3 linked regions of the Anolis sagrei genome follow. The protein of the gene in region 3 binds, or shares a complex with, the protein of the main gene of each other region. Links are inferred from orthologs where the notes say so. Each region holds a gene or a part of one and is shown on either strand. Other genes may lie near its edges.

Evidence for each region. The genes of interacting proteins can lie anywhere in the genome.
Region 1: SMARCA5 (region 3) and MYBBP1A share a complex: the UniProt entries of both Homo sapiens proteins name them as parts of the B-WICH complex. The link is inferred for Anolis sagrei from reciprocal best matches to the Homo sapiens genes SMARCA5 and MYBBP1A.
Region 2: SMARCA5 (region 3) and DEK share a complex: the UniProt entries of both Homo sapiens proteins name them as parts of the B-WICH complex. The link is inferred for Anolis sagrei from reciprocal best matches to the Homo sapiens genes SMARCA5 and DEK.

What each region holds. Positions count from the first base shown.
Region 1 is NC_090031.1:32,715,899-32,723,308, reverse strand, and holds the start of MYBBP1A (myb-binding protein 1A), read left to right. Parts: upstream 1-4,410; 5' UTR 4,411-4,449; coding exon 4,450-4,614; intron 4,615-6,240; coding exon 6,241-6,339; intron 6,340-7,410. UniProt on the Homo sapiens protein: May activate or repress transcription via interactions with sequence specific DNA-binding proteins. Repression may be mediated at least in part by histone deacetylase activity (HDAC activity).
Region 2 is NC_090024.1:79,805,240-79,812,980, reverse strand, and holds the start of DEK (protein DEK), read right to left. Parts: upstream 3,001-7,741; 5' UTR 2,868-3,000; exon of another isoform or gene 2,682-2,867; 5' UTR 2,671-2,681; coding exon 2,559-2,670; intron 1-2,558. UniProt on the Homo sapiens protein: Involved in chromatin organization.
Region 3 is NC_090025.1:46,574,498-46,582,420, reverse strand, and holds the start of SMARCA5 (SWI/SNF-related matrix-associated actin-dependent regulator of chromatin subfamily A member 5), read right to left. Parts: upstream 3,012-7,923; 5' UTR 2,546-3,011; coding exon 2,414-2,545; intron 1-2,413. UniProt on the Homo sapiens protein: ATPase that possesses intrinsic ATP-dependent nucleosome-remodeling activity.

The sequences.
Region 1 (7,410 bases), on a different chromosome or scaffold from region 3:
GGCTTCTTCCTTCCTGGGGGAATCCTTTGTTGGGAGGTGTTAGTATAGCACACTATTAGTATTATATATTACTATATTACTATAGATGGATGGCCATCTGTCAGGGGTGCTTTGAATTCAAGGTTGTGAGTTTTCTGGGCTGTCTGCCCATGTTCCAGAAGCATTCTCTCCTGACGTTTCGCCCACATCTAAGGCAGGCATCCTCAGAGGTTGTGAGTCTGTTCGAAACTAGTCAAATGGAGTTGATATCTCTGTGAACATCCAGATATATAAACAAGTGTGAATGTTGCCATTGGCCAGCTTGATCACCACTGCAAAGCCTTGCAGCTTCAAAGCCTGGCTTCTTCCTTCCTGGGGGAATCCTTTGTTGGGAGGTGTTAGTATAGCACACTATTAGTATTATATATTACTATATTACTATAGATGGATGGCCCTCTGTCAGGGGTGCTTTGAATGCAAGGTTGTTGTGAGTTTTCTGGGCTGTCTGATCATGTTCCAGAAGCATTATCTTCTGACCTTTCGCCCACATCTAAGGCAGGCATCCTCAGAGGTTGAGGGGTCTGTTGGAAACTACGCGAGTGAGTATATTCCTGTGGAATGATGTCCAGGGTGGGAGAAAGAACTCTTGTCCGTTGGAGGCAAGTATGACTGTTACCATTGGCTAGCTTGATTACCATTGCAAAGCCTTGCAGCTTCAAAGCCTGGCTTCTTCCTGCCTGGGGGAATCCTTTGTTGGGAGGTGTTAGTATAGCACACTATTATTTATTTATTTATTTATTTATGGCATTTATATGCCGCCCTTCTCACCCCGAAGGGGACTCAGAGCGGCTTACAATATATATTTTCATACAATATATTATATTATTAGCATAGTAGAGTATCAGTATATACTACTATATTGCACTATACCATTATATTGTAATATTATTACTAATATTACATGTAATGTAAGTATATAATTATAATTATAATATTGAATTATTATTACTAGTATTATGTTGTATTACATTATAATTAGTATTATATTACTAATATTAGCAATATTAGTAATATATTAGTATTATATATTAGTATATTGTCCTATAGTGCAATCTTATTGGTAATATTACATGTATTTTACAGTTATGATATTATTATATTGCTTTATATTGTATTATATAATAACATTATGATCAATATAATATGTGTATACAATATATTATATTATTAGCTTGGCACACTGTTAGTATTAATTATGATCAGGGGAATCCTTTGTCGGAAGTGTTAGCTGGCCCATATAAATGTCGTAAATAAATAAATAAATTTGAGGATTTGAAACAGAGGCTGGATGGCCATCTGTTGGGGATGCTTTGAAGATTTGAAACAGGCTGCATGGCCATCTGTCAGGGGTGCTTTGAATGCAAGGTTGTTGTGGGTTTACCAGGCTGGTGAATGCCCTTGCAGTTTCAAGGCCTGGTTTCTTACTGCCTGGAGGAATCCTTTGTTGGGAGGTTTTCCTGCTTTTGGTGGTGAATGGCCTTGCGGTTTCAAGGCCTAGCTTCTTACTGCCTGGGGGAATCCTTTATTGGGAGGTTTTCCTGCTTCTAGGTGGTTAATGGCCTTGCAGTTTCCAGGCTTGGCTTCTTACTGCCTGGGGGAATCCTTTGTTGGGAGGTTTTCCTGCTTCTTGGTGGTGAATGCCCTTGCGGTTTCAAGGCCTGGCTTCTTACTGCCTGGAGGAATCCTTTGTTGGGAGGTTTTCCTGCTTCTTGGTGGTGAGTGGCCTTGCAGTTTCAAGGCCTGGCTTCTTACTGCCTGGGGGAATCCTTTGTTGGGAGGTTTTCCTGCTTCTTGGTGGTGAGTGGCCCTGCAGTTTCAAGGCTTGGTGGAATCCTTTGTTGGGAGGTTTTCCTGCTTCTTGGTGGTGAATACCCTTGCAGTTTCAAGGCCTGGCTTCTTACTGCCTGGGGGATTCCTTTGTTGGGGCTTTTCCTGCTGCTTGGTGGTGAATGGCCTTGCGGTTTCAAGGCCTGGCTTCTTACTGCCTGGGGGAATCCTTTGTTGGGAGGTGTTCCTGCTTCTTGGTGGTGAATAGCCATACAGTTTCAATTCCTGGCTTCTTACTGCTTTGGGGAATCCTTTGTTGGGAGGTGTTCCTGCTTCTTGGTGGTGAATAGCCATACAGTTTCAATTCCTGGCTTCTTACTGCTTTGGGGAATCCTTTGTTGGGAGGTTTTCCTGCTTCTTGGTGGTGAATACCCTTGCAGTTTCAAGGCCTGGCTTCTTACTGCCTGGAGGAATCCTTTGTTGGAAGGTTTTAATGCTTCTTGGTGGTGAGTGGCCCTGCAGTTTCAAGGCTTGGCGGAATCCTTTGTTGGGAGGTTTTAATGCTTCTTGGTGGTGAATGCCCTTGTGGGTTCAAGGCCTGACTTCTTACTGCCCGGGGGAATCCTTCGTAGGGAGGTTTTCCTGCTTCTTGGTGGTGAATGGCCTTGCAGTTTCAGGACTTGGCGGAATCCTTTGTTGGGAGGTTTTAATGCTTCTTGGTGGTGAATACCCTTGCAGTTTCAAGGCCTGGCTTCTTACTGCCTGGGGAATCCTTTGTTGGGAGGTTTTCCTGATTCTTGGTGGTGAATGCCTGGGGGAATCCTTTGTTGGGAGGTTTTTTGCTTCTTGGTGGTGAATGCCCTTGCGGTTTCCAGGCCTGGCTTCTTACTGCCTGGAGGAATCCTTTGTTGGGAATTTTTCCTGCTTCTTGGTGATGAATACCCTTGCAGTTTCAGGGCCTGGCTTCTTACTGCCTGGGGGAATCCTTTGTTGGGGCTTTTCTTGCTTCTTGATTAATGGCTTTGCAGTTTCCTGCCCTGGCTTCTTACTGCCTGGGGGAATCCTTTGTTGGGGCTTTTCTTGCTTCTTGATGAATGGCTTTGCAGTTTCCTGCCCTGGCTTCTTACTGCCTGGGGGAATTCTTTGTTGGGGCTTTTCCAGCTTCTTGGTGGTGAATACCCTTGCAGTTTCAGGGCCTGGCTTCTTACTGCCTGGGGGAATACTTTGTTGGGAGGTTTTCCTGCTTCTTGGTGTTGAATGACCTTGCAGTTTGAAGTCCTGGCTTCTTTCTGCCTGGGGGAATCCTTTGTTGGGGCTTTTCTTGCTTCTTGATGAATGGCTTTGCAGTTTCCTGCCCTGGCTTCTTACTGCCTGGGGGAATACTTTGTTGGGAGGTTTTCCTGCTTCTTGGTGGTGAATGGTCCTGCAGTTTCAAGGCCTGGCTTCTTACTGCCTGGGGGAATCCTTTATTGGGAGATTTTCCTGCTTCTTGGTGGTGAATGCCCTTTCAGTTACAAGGCCTGGCTTCTTACTGCCCGGAGGAATCCTTTGTTGGGAGGTTTTAATGCTTCTTGATGGTGAATTCCTGGGTTTTCCTACTTCTTGGTGGTGAATGCTTGGGGGAATCCTTTGTTGGGAGGTTTTCCTGCTTCTTGGTGGTGAATGCCTGGGGGAATCCTTTGTTGGGAGGTTTTCCTCCTTCTTGGTGGTGAATGCCTGGGGGAATCCTTTGTTGGGAGGTTTTCTTCCTCCTTGGTGGTGAATGCCTGGGGGAATCCTTAGTTGGGAGGTTTTCCTCCTTCTTGGTGGTGAATGCCTGGGGGAATCCTTTGTTGGGAGGTTTTCCTGCTTCTTGGTGGTGAATGCCCGGGGGAATCCTTTGTTGGGAGGTTTTCCTCCTTCTTGGTGGTGAATGCCTGGGGGCATCCTTTGTTGGGAGGTTTTCCTGCTTCTTGGTGGTGAATGTCTGGGGGAATCCTTTGTTGGGAGGTTTTCCTCCTTTTTGGTGGTGAATGCCTGGGGTAATCCTTTCTTGGGAGGTTTTCCTCCTTCTTGGTGGTGAATGCCTAGGGGAATCCCTTGTTGGGAGGTTTTCCTGCTTCTTGGTGGTGAATGCCTGGGGGAATCCTTTGTTGGGAGGTTTTCCTCCTTCTTGGTGGTGAATGCTTGGGGGAATCCTTTGTTGGGAGGTTTTCCTCCTTCTTGGTGGTGAATGCCTGGGGGAATCCTTTGTTGGGAGGTTTTCCTGCTTCTTTATGGTGAATTCCTGGGGGAATCCTTTGTTGGGAGGTTTTCCTCCTTCTTGGTGGTGAATGCCTGGGGGAATCCTTAGTTGGGAGGTCTTGGTGGAATGTGGTTAGACTGGATGGCGTAGGAGGTCTCTTCCAACTCTAATATTCTATGGGGAAAGAAAGGATTGGGTAGAGGAGAACTCCAGCTTGGAGGAACTTCAACTCCCAGGATTCCCTACCTAGGCTGTCCATAGGAAAGAATTCTGGGAATCGTAGTACAAAATGACCTCCCCGCATGCAATACCAAGCGATTCCGAGCGGTGGCAGCCGAGAGCCGGATGTTGCCCTGGAAGTGGGTGCGGATACGCATGCGCGTGAGGCGGGAATTGACATCCGGTTCCTTTTCCCAAGCATGGAGAGCAATGGCGGCGCGGAGGCTTCTTCTTCGGCGGGCGAGAGGCTCTTGGGCCAAAGCCGGGAGTTCCTGGACTTCTTCTGGGAGATCGCCAGGCCCGAGCAGGAGAGGCGCGTGGGAGGCACCCAGGGACTCCTGGCACACCTCAAGGAGAGGAGGAAGGTCAGTCTTTGGGCTTGGAAGGGAACCCCAAAGGGCATCTAGTCCAACCCCCACACGTGGACACCAGACAGAGGGACACCCAGGCTCCACTTAATAATAGTAATCATAATAATAGTATCCTAGAGTTGGAAGACACCATCTGATCACTCCCGACAGAGGGTCACCCACCTTCTACTTAATAATAATCATAACAATAGTATCCTAGAGTTGGGAGACACCATCTGATCCCTCCCGACAGAGGGCCATCCACCCTCCACTTAATAATAATCATAATAATAGTATCCTAGAGTTGGAAGACACCATCTGATCCCTCCTGACAGAGGGCCACCCACCCTCCACTTAATAATAATCATAATAATAGTATCCTGGAGTTGGAAGACACCATCTGATCCCTCCTGACAGAGGGCCATCCAGACTCCACTTAATCATAATCATAATAATAGCATCCTAGAGTTGGGAGACACCATCTGATCCCTCCCAACAGAGGGCCATCTAGACTATACTCAATAATAATGAGAATAATAGTATCCTAGAGTTGGAAGACACCATCTGATCCCTCCCGACAGAGGGTCACCCAGCCTATACTCAATAATCATGATAATAATAGCATCCTGGGGTTGGAAGACACTATCTGAACTCAACCACCCAACCTCTACTTAAAATTCACAATAATAACAGCATCCTAGAGTTGGAAGACACCATCCAATCTCTCCCGACAGAGGGTCACCCATTATTATTATTATTATTATTATTATCACTCAGGATAATAATAATAATAATAATAATAGTATCCTGGGGTTGGAAGACACCATTTGATCCCTCCTGACAGAGGGCCACCCAGGCTCCACTTAATAATCATCATAATAATAGTATTCTAAAGTTGGAAAACACCATCTGATCCCTCCCGACAGAGGGCCACCCAGACTCCACTTAATAATAATCATAATAATAGTATCCTAGAGTTGGAAGACACCATCTGATCCCTCCTGACAGAGGGCCACCCAGACTCCACTTAATCATAATAATAATAATAGCATCCTAGAGTTGGGAGACACCATCCAATCTCTCCTGACAGAGGGCCACCAAGCCTATACTTAATCATAATGATAATAATATTATCCTAGAGTTGGAAGACACCATCTGATCCCTCCTGACAGAGGGCCACCCAGACTCTACTTAATAATAATCATAATAATAGTATCCTAGAGTTGGAAGACACCATCTGATCCCTCCTGACGGAGGGTCACCCAGCCTCTACTTAATAATAATCATAATAATAGTATCCTAGAGTTGGGAGACACTATCTGATCCCTCCCAAAAGAGGGCCACCCACCCTCTACTTAATGGTAATAATAGTATCCTAGAATTGGAAGACACCATCTGATCCCTCCCAATAGAGGGCCACCTATTAATAATAATAATAATAGTAATAATAATAATAATAATATCCTAGAGTTGGAAGAGAGGCTCAAGTGCCATCTAGTCCAAACCCATTCAGTCCTAAAGAAAGACACCATCTGATCCCTACCGGCAGATGGCCATGCACACTCTATTAAAAAAAGCAGCAAGGTTGAGAGAGAGAGAACTTTGCCTTGCTTCAGTGTCTCCATGCATTGTTTCTTTTAGGATGGCGACCTGTTGAAATACACATTAAAGCGCCTGGTTGTGGGATTGGGAGCCACGCGAGAGGCGTCCCGTCCGGGATTCAGCCTGGCCTTGGCACAGGTGCGGAGCTGTTTGTTTATGTATTAATTAATGTATTTATTTACTTGTTGCATTTTTTTTATTACTCACGTGATGGCTCGAGGCGGAGTACAACCAAGTAAAAAACAAGTGAACATAAACATACAATAAATTACTAAAGTACGCAGACAAGAACACACACGTATCGATCTATCTTTTATCTATACACCTAATATAATAATTAATAATCATTATTATTAATAATACATGTGTGTTCATTTGCAAAGTCAACCTCCCATCTCCACAAACAGCTTTAAATCCCACCACTCGGGTGACATCAGTGGCCCTCCCTCCAACGACATTAGTGAGCACTACATCCTGTTATAGAGGAGGAATTTTGGGGTCTTTGCCAGGAGGCAGAGACCAATTAGACTCATCAAAGAGTTCTTTTCCCTGACAAGACAGAGAGAAGCACCCAATCCCTGATTTTTCCCAATAAAAGGTCTCACCAAGTTGAAGGAAGTGCCACCGAGATGTTTTATTTGCGATTAAACTGAAAAGGATGCAGAGCAGCAATCATTCGCCAAGCAGAGCATGTGGTTACAGAAGTAAAGGCCATTTTTATAGAAAATACAGAGTTGTGAGTTTCAAAATTCCCGCTCCCCCCTCCCACCCAGCTTGAAGGGGATTGGCTGATGCGCAAACAGCTGGGAGGAGGCTTGGCCATCCCCATGCATCAGGGCCAATCACAGGGCTTTCGCGATGCAACAGAGCCTATCAGGAGGCTCCTGCTGCCTTGACGCTCCAGCGAATCGGAAGGGAGGGAGGCGGGATGAAGGGATACAATGCATTCTGGATTATGACAAAATTGTTCCTGAGGCTTAGCGAGATCCGGGTGGGGGGTCTGCCAGCCAAGCCATTCTATTGTGTTCGTGAGTGAAGGCAATAAACATATGTTAAAGAAATCCAGGTTTTCCTGTCGGCATCAGATATGACACAAAGGGGAAGACTTGGATGGAAGTTCTTTGTGGAGAAATTTGAAAGAAAAATGGCTTGGAGGCAAAAAGAAGATTTTTCTAAGGTCATATTCCCCCCATTGTTATATGATTAAAA
Region 2 (7,741 bases), on a different chromosome or scaffold from region 3:
AAGTGTATAAAAGGCTTTTAAAACAAAATTTGTAAAAGAATGGCATAGGTGCTGAAGTGTAAATAAGAGCGATAAATCTTTCAAATTGCATGATATCCTTTATCTGATCTGAACTGCTTCAATATCGCTATTTGTTTACTGTAAGTCTAATTCAGCATTTACTTTTTGTATGTTGTTAATTACATTGTTTTTTGAACTGTGAACCACCTGGAGTCCCAATCCTGGGGGAAAAGCAAGTCAATAGCAATAATGATGATGGGAATCATATTTGCACAGACTGAAAAAACCACCATGCATTAGAAAAAAAGTCATTTTATTTTAACATAAACTTTCCAACTTTGATATTAATGTTTTGAATTGTATCGTTCTTTTAAAAATGTGAATTCTGGGGGGGGGGGGAAGATAATAATGATAATGATAATAATAATAATAATAATAATGGTGTTTGCATAGGCTACATACAATCATGCATGAGAAGGAAGCAATCTTTCTTTCTAATAACTTTCTCTATTTTAATACAAACTTTTCTACTATAACATTAACGTTCTGTATGTTTTGAATTGTATTGTTCTTTTAACTTGTGAATCATTTGGGAGTCTCAATCCTGGGGAATGCACAATATTATTATTACTACTACTACTACTACTACTACTACTACTAACAACAACACTATGCAACAAGATTAGCAGTATTTTCTGTTCCTGGTTTGACAGTGTTATTCCTATTTAATTGCGCAGAACTTTAAAAGTAGTTGTTATGCTCCAAAACTTTGTTTTTGTGTCTGCCACAAACTATGTTGAATTGGTCAAGACTCTATGAGACATTTCTTGAAAAACCAGGACCAAGAAGAGAGTGATTTTCTTTTCTTTCCCACAAATTTGCCTACTCAATGCCACAGGGAAGTAGCAGCCAGCAATGAAAGGACCAAGGCATTGACATCTCCGGCCCATCCTCTGTTCGGGTATCAGCCAGCATGCTAACGACTTAAATCAAGATACAGCTTCCTAAGATCTACAGAGATATTTGCTGGAACATCTCAGCAAGTGAGAGCCCAAAAGTGATAGGTAAAAACCCAGAATATCAATCAGTGGGTGATACCAGATAAGAAACTCCCTCATGGGCACACAGAAGACTGTGCAATTTGGAAGGCGCTGAACAAACTGCGCTCTGGCGACCTGAGCTGCAGAGGCAATCATAGAGTTTGAAGAGACCTTGTGGGCCATCCAGCCCAACACCCTGGAAATCGCATTCAAAGCACCCCTGACAGGTGGCCATCCAGCTTCTGCTTTAAAAACAGGAGAAAACAAGCCTGCTCCCTCCCATGACTTCCCCACAAATATTTATATATGGCCATCATGCTTCTTTTCAGCCTTCCCTTCTGCAGTTTAAATATGCCCATCTCTTTAAGCAGCTTCTCACAGGGCTTGTTCTCCAGACCCTTGATCATTTTAGTTGCCCTTCTCTGGGCACATTTCAGCCTGTCAATATCTCCCTTAAATTGCAGTGGCCAGAACTGGACACAGTATTCCAGCTGTGGTCTGACCAAGACAGACTAGAGAGGTAGCGCGTATTCCCTGAATCTAGACACTATACTCCTATTTATGCAGGCCAAAATCCCTATGGCTTTTTAAGATGTTGCTTCACATTGTTTGCTAATGTTTAACTTGTCCATGAGGACTACAAGATTTTACACGTACTGCTATCGGGCCAGGCGTCCTCCATTCTGTATCTTTGCATTTCATTTTTTTTTTGTCGAAGTGGAGTATCTTGTTAGTTCATTTTGTTAATTCATCTTAAGAAATGGAGCTACAAAGTGGAGCCCATAACATGAGAGTGTGGAGAAGAGCAAACCACAGACCACTTAATACAGTGGTTCTCAACCCTGTGAATCCCCAGGAGTTTTGGCCTACAACTCCCAGAAATCCCAGCCAGTTTACCAGCTGTTAGGATTTCTGAGAGTTGGAGGCCAAAACATCTGGGGACCCACAGGTTGAGAACGACTGACTTACTACGATGCAGTCTGCGCCCTGCCACATGCACAATGGAGGACTTCCTTAAAGCAACAACAGAGGCACTCAAAGTGACCAGCTTCTGCTCAAAGGAAATGTAGCATAATGCCAAGTTTTTAACTTTGTTTGTGGGTTTTTTTTAATACAACTATATTCTAAATTTGCTTCTGATATGATAAATAAATAACATTTTGTATATTTCGTACCGTTCTTTCAAATAGAGGACCACTTCCCTGGGCAGGATTATAATAATATTTGTACAGGTTCGGCAAACTTGGGCCCTCCAGGTGTTTTGGACTTCAACTCCCACAATTTCTAACAGCCTACCGGCTGTTAGGAATTGTGGGAGTTAAAGTCCAAAACTCCTGGAGGGCCGAAGTTTGCCCAGGCCTGAGCTAAAGGCTTTCTCTTTTCCTGCCTTGAAGTCCTTTCCAGCCCTATTTGTTTGTATGGAGACAAAAGGCAGCTGCCTTGAGGCGCTCTCCCTGCACACACGGACCTCTATTTACATGGCACACCCTGTTGCTTTGGATGTGGCCACGCACTTACCTTTCTCTTCCTCCTCTTCCTCGCTCTCTCCCACTTTGTTTTCGGCTTCTGAGCCCATTTCTTCCGCCTCCTCCGCGGCCTGGGAGCCGTCTTTTTCGGAAACAGACGTCATGGCTGGTTCTCCTGCAGGGAGACACAAGCAGGGAGGCGTCAACGCAGCCTCGGCCTTGAAAACGCCACGGGGTTCGACCTCTATTTGACAGAAAGGGCGCCCGGGCGGGCTTCGGCCTCTGTATCAGGGCCTACTTCGCGGTCTGGGTTGAGCGGGAAGAAGAGCCCGCCATTATTTTGAGTTGGGAAGCGGCCTACCCGACGGCGGAGGCCCGGCCCCTCCTCCTCCTCCTCTTCCTCTCCCGCCTTCTTTCTCTTCTCCTCAGACGAACAGCGCGCCTACTGAAACCTCTTCGCTCGAGATGGCGTCGAGTATAGCATCGCGAGATTTCCGCTGTCCCGCGACGGCTGACATCTCGCGGGATCCCCTAGTTCTGTTCTCATTCTCTCGCGAGACTCGAGAGGCTTTCTATAAGCCTGCCTCCAGAGTTGTTGTTCTTATTATATTTGGGTTGCTGTGAGTTTTCTGGGCTGTCTGGTCATGTTCCAGAAGCATTCTCTCCCTCATCTATGGCAGGCATCCTCAGAGGTTGTGAGGTCTGTTGGAAACTAAGCAAGTGGGGTTTATATATCTGGAATGTCCAGGGAAGGGGGAAAAAACTGTCAGCTTGAATGTTTGCAATTTTGTGTTTTGTCTGTCTGTTTGTTTTGTTCTGTTAGAAATGTAATACAATTGACTGGTTGCCCTGACACGACAAATAAATAAATAAATGCAATTGGCCGCCTTGATTACCATTGAATAGCCTTGCAGCTTCAAAGACTGGCTGATTCCTGCCTGGGGGGATGCTGGACCGCACTAACCACCACCATGTCAGACTACACAGAGAACTCTTAACTACACAGATCATAGAATCAAAGAGTTGGAAGAGACCTCATGGGCCATCCAGTCCAACCCCCTGCCGAGAAGCAGGAATATTGCATTCAAATCACCCCTAACAGATGGCCATCCAACCTCTGTTTAAAAGCTTCCAAAGATTTAAAATTATTATGTCCTGTTGCTGTAAACTTCAGTAAAAGTATCAGTTCAATTGATCATGAGAATACTCAATTCATATAGTACACAAGCATAGGGAGCTATTTACAATGGTGTAACAAACCTAATATTCATGAAAATGAACAAAATCTGGCTACCAGTATTTTTTTAAAAACTCTAAAATCAGGACAGTAAGTAAAGACTCAAAAAGCCAGGGAAGTCCAGACAATCCAATCAGGGCCAGCTAACACCTCATAGAATCAAAGAGTTGGAAGAGACCTCATGGGCCATCCAGTCCAACCCCCTGCCAAGAAGCAGGAATATTGCATTCAAATCACCCCTAACAGATAGCCATCCAGCCTTTGTTTAAAAGCTTCCAAAGAAGGAGCCTCCACCACACTCCAGGGCAGAGAGTTCCACTGCTGGACGGCTCTCACAGTCAGGAAGTTCTTCCTCATGTTCAGATGAAATCTCCTTTCTTGTAGTTCTTGTCCTAATCCCCATGGAAGCAGTAAACAAGCTTGCTCCCTCCTCCTTGTGGCTTCCTCTCACATATTTATACATGGCTATCATATCTCCTCTCATCTTCTTCAGGCTAAACATGCCCAGCTCCTTAAGATACTCCTCATAGGGCTTGTTCTCCAGACCCTTGATCATTTTAGTCGCCCTCCTCTGTACACATTCCAGCTTGTCAATATCTCTCTTGAATTGTGCCCAGAATTGGACACAATATTCCAGGTGTGGTCTAACCAAAGCAGAATATCTATAAGTACAATGTAAATACAGAAATGTCCCCAGAGTGACTCACGCTCCCACCTCCTTCGCAGGCGCTATTGGTGGGGACGAGGGAGAGTGCCTTCTCGGTGGTGGCCCCCCAACTCTGGAACTCACTTCCCAGGCACATCAGATATGCCCCAACTCTGGCAGTCTTTAGGAGGAGCATGAAAACGTGGTTGTTCCAGTGTGCCTTCCCAGAATAATGAAAACTCTCAGCAATATGCCCTCAAAACGCACTTTACCACTGATTTAGGACTGACTGCATGCCCTCATTTCTCTCTGAAAATCCTATCCCAGTTATATCCTACCTTGTTCACGTCAGCATTATTTTTTTAATTTTAATCTATTACATTTGGCCCGGCCATTGGTTTTAAATGCTTGTATGTCACTGTTGATTGTTTATTGCTTATTTTTTGTTTATGTGATTTATATGAATTGTATTGTATTGATTGTTTTATTGATGTTTTGTTTATTGATGTATTGTGGGCTTGGCCTCATGTAAGCCGCTCCGAGTCCCTTGGGGAGATGGTAGCGGGGTACAAATACAGTTTTTAAAAAAATTATTATTATTATTATGTCCTGTTGCTGTAAACTTCAGCAAAACTATCAGTTCAATTGATCATGAGAATACTCAATTCGTATAGTACACAAGCATAGGGAGCTATTTACAATGGTGTAACAAACCTAATATTCATAAAAATGAACAAAATCTGGCTACTAGTACTAAAAAACACCCTCTAAAATCACGACAGAAAGTAAAGACTCAAAAAGCCAGGGAAGCCCAGACAATCCAATCAGGGCCAGCTAACACCTCCCAACAAAGGATCCCCCAGGCAGCAACCAGTCAGGCATTGAAGCGACAAGACCATTAAATGCTAATCAAGGTGGCCAACTGCAACATTCACACCTTCCTCAAGCAGACAAGAGTTCTTTCTCCTACCCTGGACATTCCACAGATACGTAAACATCCTTAGGCAACAGACCTCACCACCTTTGAGGATGCCTGCCATAAATGCAAGTGAAATGTCAGGAGAGCCCAATCCCCTGAGAAATTTCTTTCTACTCATCTTCCCCCCTCTAAACCAACTAACCCCCAAAAGTCCCAGTGAAAAATATTTTGTTCCAGTTTTAGTGGTGGGGGAGGATCTATGTGCCAAATTTCGTCCAAATCCATCAATGATGAGGCTCGCAGTGGTCTCTGGATGTGTGTGAAGGTACTGCAACTCCCATCAATTTCTAATTTCTATGTATGGTTCTGAAAGTAGACAGTTAATTTTTTGTGCCCATTTTTACTTTCAGTATTGTTACAATAGGGCGAAGACCAACTTTTTAATGATGTTTGTAGATTGGTCTATATAGCTTTGCATTCTGTTTTGACCAGAGTCCCCAGTGTGACTCACAAAATAAAAACAATTTCATTAAAGATTAAAGATGATTACAGTTGTTCATTTGTTCAGTCATTTCTGACTCTTCGTGACCTCATGGACCAGCCCATGACAGAGCTCTCTGTCGGCTGTCACCACCCCCAGCTCCTTCATGGTCAATCCAGTCACTTCAAGGATGCCATCCATCCATCTTGCCCTTGGCCGGCCTCTCTTCCTTTTTCCTTCCATTTTCCCCAGCATCATTGTCTTCTCTAAGCTTTTCTTTCTTCTCATGATCTGGCCAAAGTACTTCATCTTTGCCTCTACTATCCTTCCCTCCAGTGAGCAGTCGGGCTTTATTTCCTGAAGTATGGACTGATTGGATCTTCTTGGGGTCCAAGGCACTCTCAGAATTTTCCTCCAGCACCACAGTTCAAAAGTGTCTATCTTCCTTCGCTCAGCCTTCTTTATGGTCCAGCTTGCACACCCATACATTACTATGGGGAATACCATTGCTTTAACTATGCGGATCTTCATTGCCAGTGTAATGTTTCTTCACTATTTTATTGAGATTGCCCATTGCTCTCCTACCAAGAAGTAAACGTCTTCTGATTTCCTTGATGCAGTCTCTGTCTGCAGTAATCTTTGCGCCTAGAAATACTAAGTCTGTCACTGCCTCCACATTTTCTCCTTCTATTTGCCAGTTATCCATCAGTCTGGTCGTCATAATCTTGGTTTTTTGATGTTTAACTGCAATCCACAATTTCTTCTTTCACCTTGGTTAGAAAGCTCCTCAATACTGTGTTAAACAATATAATGTATTATGAAATAATACCTGAGAAAAATAAATTAAGCACGAGCTCTGATCTGTAAAATGATCAGATAATAGAAAAGGACTGTAGTGCCAAAAGGATCTTCAGAGGACTTTCAAAGTTAAGAGAAAGATTTTTTCTTTCAGACATGCATAATACACTTTCCCCAAAACAAATGGGAAGAGATGCTTTTTGAAATATTGGGAACCATGCTGTTTAGAGTTTTACAAATAAGCACCAGTACCTTGAGCTGGACTTGGGGGAGCCCTTATAGTGCATTCTAACTTGATGTACTGTGTCATGAATGTATCAGAATAAACCAGCCTGAGGTACAATGCTTTTGAATTCTTTTCATGGATGGTGTGATGTAATACAATAAATCAAAATTAATGAAAATAAATATTATTGTATAACGATTGACTGATCAGGAACCGCCATGCGGCTCTAGTTCAAGGATAACAAAAGAGGCAGAAACACACTACCACTTCAGGATAATTATGTTGAAAACACAACTGAAACAGAATGCTATAAAGAAATGCAGATTCTGGCAAGTGGTTGTCTTGAAAGACAACCCTCTGCTCTGTAAACAGAGCTCTGTCATTAATCTTGACAAAAATAAGACTGTAGATAGTACTCTGATGTACAATGGGCTCCTATGGCTAAGAAGCTAAATTAGTAATTAGGTTGTTACATACTTTTGAAAGAATGGAGAGTACTGTGAAAGTCCAAAATTAAATATAATTACCACGTAACTGAGTTTTTGTACCTGCATAATGGTTCTCTCTGCAGGTAAAAAACAGAAACGATCTTCTGTATATATGGTAAACATGATCTGCCCGTAGTTTGCAGTGGGTAACTCTACTGGCTGGCATCCAATTTTGATCTTTTGGATTGAAGGGAAAATAATTAAGTACTTCATAAATCATCATAACTGCATCACCAAGAGAAATGTTAAATGATTTTTTTTGATAGTTCGTATTTCAGATACTATTACTATTATAGGTGGTCTAATGTTTTTTATTCTAAGAATTCGCCTACTTAAAATTAATGCATAACTCTTGACTTCTGTGTTCTGGTTTTGTCTATCACATTGGGAAGATGGGTTTTTTGCTTTATTATCATATATTCTTATTATGTCAGAATTAG
Region 3 (7,923 bases):
AGTTAATGCAGTTTCAAACCAGTATTGAAGAAAGTGGTTTTGCTGTGCAGGCAATTACATAGGAAATCCTGGAACCAGTTTGAGGCCCAGATGATATGCAAAGCACAGAGCACTGATACACATCATGGGCTTTCTTTCGCATGCTTCTGTGTGTGTTTGTTGCCTGGCCATTGGCCGTCACAGTTTGAAGCTAGCTTCAAAATGCATTAATCGGTCAGTATAAATGGAGCGTGAATCAACCTGTCTGGGATCACGCAGTTTTGGAGCCAAGCAACCCAGCAAGGAAGAGCCAGCTTTTGAGTATTGGACTCTAAAGGTGCATCTTAACTGCAGAATTCATGCTGTTTGACACCACTTTAATTGCTGTAGCTCAATGTTGTGGAATCATGGGAGTTGTAATTTTACAGAGAACATCAGAAAGAGCCCTTTCAGTGGCTGCTGCCAGACTAACATTCTTAGCCACTTTAGCTACCATGCCTCAATGCAATAGAATGATAGGACTTGTTTGTTTTATGAGGCACCATCACTCTTTGGCAGAGAAGGTTGAAGACCTGGCACTGAATTAAAATGATGTCAAATTGCCTTAAATCTACAGTTGAAGGTGCAACCAAGGTCTTTAGCCTTCTCTATCAAAGAGTGTTGGTGCCCATAAAACTACAACTCCTAGGATCCCACAACATTGAGACAGGGCACCTCAAATTGGGCCAAACCACATTAATTGTATACTGTAGGCAGTCTGGACTCTCTCCCATTAAAGAAAGAAAGCATAGAGTCCAGGTCAGATGAAGATGGAGAGAAAAAGGAAAAAGAAGAGAAAATGTGTAAAAAGAAGATGAAAAGAAGAGGCAAGGAAGTACAAGAAGAAAAAGAAGAGAAGGAAGGAGAAGATAGAGAGAAAAAGGAAAAAGAAAAAAAATGTGTAAAAAAGAAGACAAAAAGAAGAAGCAAGGAAGTACAAGAAGAAAAAGAAGAGATGTGAAAGAGGAGAAAGGAGAAGAAGAAAACAGTGAGGAGGAAGAAAAAGAGAAGATGGAGAAAACAAGGAGAGAAGAAAATAGGAGTAGAAATAAGAAAAGATGGCAAGGAAGTAGGAAGAGAGGGAAGAGAAAGAGGATGAAGGAGAAGGAAAAGAAGAGGGTGGTGAGGAGGAAAAAGTCACAAGGAAGAACAAGGAGAGGAAGAAAAGGAGAAAGAAAGATGGAGGTTAAGAGGAGAAAGAAGTGAAAAGGAAGGGAAAGAAGGGAAAGATGAAGGCTAAGAGGAGAATAAGAGAAAACAGAAGAAAAGAGAGAAGAGGATGAGGAAGTGAAAAAGAAGAACAAGGGCAGGAAGACGAAGGTGAAGAGGAGGAGATGAAGGAGAAAGAAGAGGAGGAAGAAGAAGGAAGAGAATGGTGAGGAGGAAAAGGAAGAACAAGAAGGAAAGGAAGAGAAGGACTGAGAGAGAGAAATGAGGGTGATGGGGAGGAAGAGGGAGATGAGGATGAAGTGAAGAGGAAAGGGAAGGAGAAGAGGAGGTAGAGGAAGAAGTGAAAAGGAAGGAAAAGAAAAGATGAAGAGGAGAAAGAAGAGAAAACTAAAGAGGAAGGAGAAGAGGAAATAAGAGGTGAAAAGGAAGGAAAAGAGGAAGTGAAGTGGAAAGGGAAGGAGTGAAAAGGGGTGGAAAAGAGGAAGATGAAGGTGAAGAGGAGGAAGAAGTAAAGAAGAGAAAAGGAAGGAAATGAGGAGAAAGTGAGGAGGAAAGGGAAGGAAGTGAAAAGGAAGGAAAAGAAGAGACAGGTGAAGAGGTAAAGAGGAGAAGAGAAAACAGAAAAAGAAGAAGAGAAGGAAGGAAGAAGTGGAAATAAAGGAAAAGAGGAAGGGAAGAAGACAAAGGATCAGAAACTGAATAGGAAGGAAAAGAAGAGAAAGGTGAAGAGGAGAAAACAGAAAAGGGAGAAGAGGAGGAGGAACGAAGAAGTGAAAAGAAAGGAAAAGAGGAGGAAGGGAAGAAGAAGGAGCCGGAACTGAAAAGGAAGGAAAAGAAGAGAAAGGTGAAGAGGAGAAAACAGAAAAAGCAGAGGAGGAGGAGGAAGAAGTTAAAAAGAAAGGAAAAGAGGAGGAAGGGAAGAAGAAGAAGGAACTGAAAAGGAAGGAAAAGAAGAGAAAGATGAAGAGAAGGAGAAAGAAGAGGAAGGAGAAGGAAGAAGAGGAGGAATAAGAAGAAGCTGAAGAAGGGCAAGAGAGAGAAGAGGAGGATTTCGGGAGAGCCCCGGAAGGCTGGGCTGGGGCTCTTCCTCCGCCTCCCTCCTGCCATTGTCTCCTCGTCCCACGCGGGGAACGGCGAAGAAGGGAGAAGGGCGGAAGAGGGAGGCAGAAGCGCCCTCCTCCTCACTCGCTCTCTCTCTCGGGCTCCCCCCCCCTCCCTCTCTTACCGCTCCTTCTTCGGCGCCTCCTCCTCCTCCTCCTGGCGGCCCCTCCACAACTGCCTCCGCGGCGCTCTCGGTGCCGGACCCGGCAGTGGCGGCGGCGGGAGGGATCTCGCTCCCCGCCTCGTTCTCAGCCATGTCCCGGCGGCGGTTGGCGCGGCCTTGTTCCCTTCCGAAGGAGGAGCCCCCCTCGCCTCCTCCCGCGCGGTCCCGGCCGTCAGGCTCCTTCTTTCTTGTTCTTCTTCTGCTTCTTCTCCTCCTCTCGCCGGCTTCTCTCAGCGCTCAGTCCCACCAACCAGGAACCCCCTTAGCCGGCTCCCGAGTCTCGCGAGACTACGCTTCCAAAGAGAGAGAGAGAGTGAGCGCGTGCTGCTCCTCTTTGCCTTCGCCCGACGCTTGCTTTCCTGCTTGCTTCGATCCGATTGGGTAGAACGGGAGAAGCCAAAAAAAGGGAGGGGGGAGAGAGAAAGAGAGAAAGAGAGAGATGCCTGCTGGCTTGCTTCAATCCGATTGGATGACGAGAGAGAAGCCAAGAGGGGATGCCTGCCGGTTTGACTGGTCCCTCCGCGCGCGTATTTGGGAGAGAACGGGGGGCGGGGCTAAAGAGAGAGAGAGAGTCCGCGCGCGCGCGAACGAGCGCTGGTGGGTGGAGTCAGGATAAAGGGAGTGACGTCACTGAGTGGGCGAAAGGGGCGGGGCCTGTCTTCTCGCGCGTTCTGAAAGGAGAAGAAAGCAGGTGAGGAAAAGAACACCCAACTTCGGCCCTGCAGGTGTTGAGGACTACAACTCCCACAATTCCTAACAGCCTTCCCAACAGTTGAAACATTTACACCTAGCTCCAACAGACAAGAGTTCTTTGTCCCACCCTGGTCATTCCACAGATATATAAACCCACTAGCCGTTCCCAGGCACGCGTTGCTGTGGCCCACATGGGGGTTCTGTGTGGGTGGTTTGGCCTAATTCTATCGTTGGTGGGGTTCAGAATGGTCTGTGATTATAGGTGAACTATACATCCCAGCAACTACAACTCCCAAATGTCAAGATTCTATTTTCCCCAAAATCCACCAGTGTTCACATTTGGGCATATTGAGTATTTGTGTAGAGTTTGGTTCAGATCCATCATTGTTTGAGTCCACAGTGATCTCTGGATTTAGGTGAACTACAACTCCAAAACCTAAGGACACTGCCCACCAAACCCTTCCAGTATTTTCTGTTGGTCATGGGAGAACTGTGTGCCAAGTTTGGTCCAATTCTATTGTCGGTGGGGTTCAGAATGCTCTTTGATTGTAAGTGAACTATATTTCCCAGCAACTACAACTCCTAATCAAGGTGAAAGAAGAAAGCGCAAAAGCCGGGTTGCAGCTAAACGTCAAAAAAACCAAGATTATGGCAACAAGAATGATTGACAACTGGAAAATAGAGGGAGAAACCGTGGAGGCTGTGACAGACTTTGTATTTCTAGGTGCAAAGATTACTGCAGATGCAGACTGTGGCCAGGAAATCAGAAGACGCTTACTTCTTGGGAGGAGAGCAATGTCCAATCTCGATAAAATAGTGAAGAGTAGAGACATCAGACTGGCAACAAAGATCCGCCTAGTCAAAGCCATGGTATTCCCTGTAGTCACCTACGGATGTGAGAGCTGGACCTTAGGGAAGGCTGAGCGAAGGAAGATCGATGCTTTTGAGCTGTGGTGTTGGAGGAAAGTGCTGAGAGTGCCTTGGACTGCGAGAAAATCCAACCAGTCCATCCTCCAGGAAATAAAGCCTGACTGCTCACTGGAGGGAAAGATACTAGAGACAAAGTTGAAGTACTTTGGCCACATCATGAGGAGACAGGAAAGCCTAGAGAAGACAATGATGCTGGGGAAAGTGGAAGGCAAAAGGAAGAGGGGCCGACCAAGGGCAAGATGGATGGATGGCATCCTTGAAGTGACTGGACTGACCTTGAGGGAGCTGGGGGTGGTAACGGCCGACAGGGAGCTCTGGCGTGGGCTGGTCCATGAGGTCACGAAGAGTCGGAGACGACTGAACGAATGAACAACAACAACACAACTCCCAAATGACAAAATCTATTCTTTTTTTTTAGTGAAGGACATACATTGGGTTGTTAGGTGTCTTGTGTCCAAATTTGGTGTCAATTCGTCCTGTGGTTTTTGAGTTCTGTTAATATCACAAACAAACATTACATTTTTATTTATATAGATTTTCCTAGTTCCAACAGACCTCACTACCTCTGAGAATGCTTGCCATAGATGCAGGCGAAACGTCAGGAGAGAATGCTTCTAGAACATGGCCATATAGCCCGAAAAAAACCTACAACAACCCAGCCTTCCTAACAGTTTGAAAAACAGACTTCTGTACTCAAATTGTTTCAAGGCTTTTTTTGTGTCAGGAGTGACTTGAGAAACTATAAATCGCTTCTGGTGTGAGAGGATTGACCGTCTGCAAGGACGTTGCCCAGGGGACGCCCGGATGTTTTGATGTTTTACCATCCTTGTGGGAGGCTTCTCTCATGTCCCTGCATGGGGAGCTGGAGCTGACAGAGGGAGCTCCTCCATGCTCTCCCCGTATTCGAACCACCGACTTGTCAGTCTTCAGTCCTGCTGGCACAAGGGTTTAACCCATGGCACCCCCGGGGGCTCCTGTCTCATGGTCTAACTGCCTTCTGACTATATAATACTAATATTGTGATGTGCTCAGGCATGTAGCCGGGGGGGGGGGGGGACTTGAGGGGCTTCTCCCCCCCCCCCCGGCGAAATTCTCATCGTGGTCCACAAGAAGGCCTTACTGGTACATTATTTAAACTGTTATGTTTATTCATATCATGATCTGATCAACATGCTCAATATATCCCGTATGCATGGGGGTATTGGGGTAATGATACAAAAGGTTTGCTAGGGTAGACCCTCTTTCACTCAGACTCAGCCCCCCCCCCCGAATCAAACTCACCCCCCCCCAACCCAAATCCTGGCTACGGGCCTGGCAGAGCTAATATTATAATATATTGTATGCACATATAATATTGATAATATTATAATGTAATACAATATAATAGTACTAATATAATTTTATATTTCATGTTACATGTTATATTACTAATAATATTACAGTATAGTGGTATAGTTCAGTATAGTGTAATGTATAATACTAATATTGTGCTATGCTAATAATATAATATATTGTATGTACATATAACTTGTAAGCTGCTCTGAGTCCCCTTTGGGATGAGAAGGGCAGCATGTAAATGTCATAAATAAATAAATACACTAGCTTTTCTATTCTAACTGACATAAGCCTCAACTGTCTTCTAACTGCCTACACTGGCTTCTGTATTCTAATTGACTCAAGCCTCCACACTCATTCCTCAACTGTCATCATGTTTTAATATGCATTCTCTACTGTCACTGATCTGCAGCCCCTCCCACTGCCTCAAGTATATAGAGCTAAGGAAACTGAAAACCAAAGAAGGCATACACTTTAAGAAATAAAATGACACATTATAAACAAACATAACTTTACATAGAGTAGGCTTGAGAAGGTTGCTATCGCCAACAAAGTAAGCTGCTTTGAGTCTCCTTTGGGACAGATAAAGCATGGTATAAATAAACCTAATAATAAGAGAGCACTACCAGACCTCTGGTTGAGAATTATTTTGTATCCAGGCTCTGCTAATCCATGTTAGCCCAGTTATCATCACTGGCCACAAAAACAACTCACACAATGTTATGAATGATAGTTGGCATCTGTAGATCCATGTGAATTGTTTTATGTTCAGATTTTATATAGTTTTTGTTTACGATTGCTATAATCTATTGATATTAGGTTCTAATTGTTTTTATATGTGAGGTTTTTCGGGGGTTATGATGTTGGTACTTGTTTTATGGAGGCATTGAATGTTTGTCACTGCATATTGGAATCCACCTTGAGTCCCTCTGGGAAGATTGGGTGGGATATAAAGATTGTTTATTATTATTGTTATAATAATAATAATAATAATAATAATGAATTACTTTTTGTTGACCTGCAAGAAGAGATTAGAAAGCTAAACAGACTAGGCCGACTTTGAAATAGTTCAAAACCCCCAGAATTTAGAACAGTTTGTGAAAAGTAACTCATTGTTTGTACATCCTTTAGCATTTTTAAACTTCATACATAGTTTTAAAATGGAGTGCTATAATTTTCCTGACCTGTGGAGCAAAACATACCTAACACGCCTCCTTTAGTTAGAGCAGTGAGTAAAAAGACTAATAATGCAAAAGAAGTGAAGTTATCCTCATTACATTATACTTGTAGAATAACTTAGTTGCTGCACAAGTTGAATTCATTGCAAATACCTTCTTCTTTGTAACCAGTTATCTGTGTTCTTGTATTGGAATGGGTTGAGCAGAGTGTGTCTGATCTCAAAATCTCCTGGAATCTCTCCATGATAAAAGAACAGTCCAATGCCAAGAGGCAGTTACTGAAGTTTGAAATGTGTATTCTAAAGTGGATATAATATAGGCAACATAATCTTCAAAGGTTTTTGGGTCATTCCGTACCAAGTAGTCTAAACTTTCCCACCATCATGTCTCCAATTTTGTTCAAATTTTAGCTGTAGTGGCAGTCAGGTGTTAAACTAAGTTTCCCAAAATGTGAGGTTTCTAACTGCAATAGCTGCTGATCTCAACCCCCTTATCTGAACGATAGTGACCTGAGTAAATGGATTTTTTGGTTGTGTCAGGAGCAACTTGAGAAACTGCAAGCCACTTCTGGTGTGAGAGAATTGGCCGTCTGCAAGGACATTGCCCAGGGGACACCCAGATGTTTTGATTTGTTACCATCATTGTGGTAGGCTTCTTTCATGTTCCCGCATGGGGAGCTGGAGCTGACAGAGGGAGCTCATCCATGCTCTCCCCGGATTCGAACCTGCCATCTGTCGGTTTTCAGTCCTGCCTGCACAGGCGTTTAATCCACTGCACTACTGGGGGCTCCAGTAAATGGGTCAAAGCATATTATATCTTGTATGCAAGGTGTATTGCGTTTCTCCATGATGGCTGAGCCATTACTGGTTATCACATTGAAACCAGCATCCCCATCACTATAGGGGGCATGTTGATAGCCATGCAGTAACAGCCAGAGCAGGTATCTTTACTGCAGGATATCAAGCCTGATTGCAGGTTTCTTTACTGCATGATCTCAACTCGGTTTATTCAGTTACTTCATCATTCTGAAAGCATCATTGATCTGCAAGAGAATGGTTTCAGGGCAATTATATTGCTGACCAGATGATGTCACTGACGGAGCTAGAATAACAGCAAAAAGCTGTTCTGGAATCCAGCAAGTATCACATCTTAGCGGCCAATCAAAAGAACTAGCAGGCCCTGAAGATGCAGAAAGCATAATGCATAAATGCACAAAATATACCATACTTTGACCTGAGTAAATGGATACTTAATGGTCACATTGCAAAACAAAAACATATTAATCTTGTAGAGCAATTTTTTCTCTTTCAGATGATACTATTCACAAGCATCTTC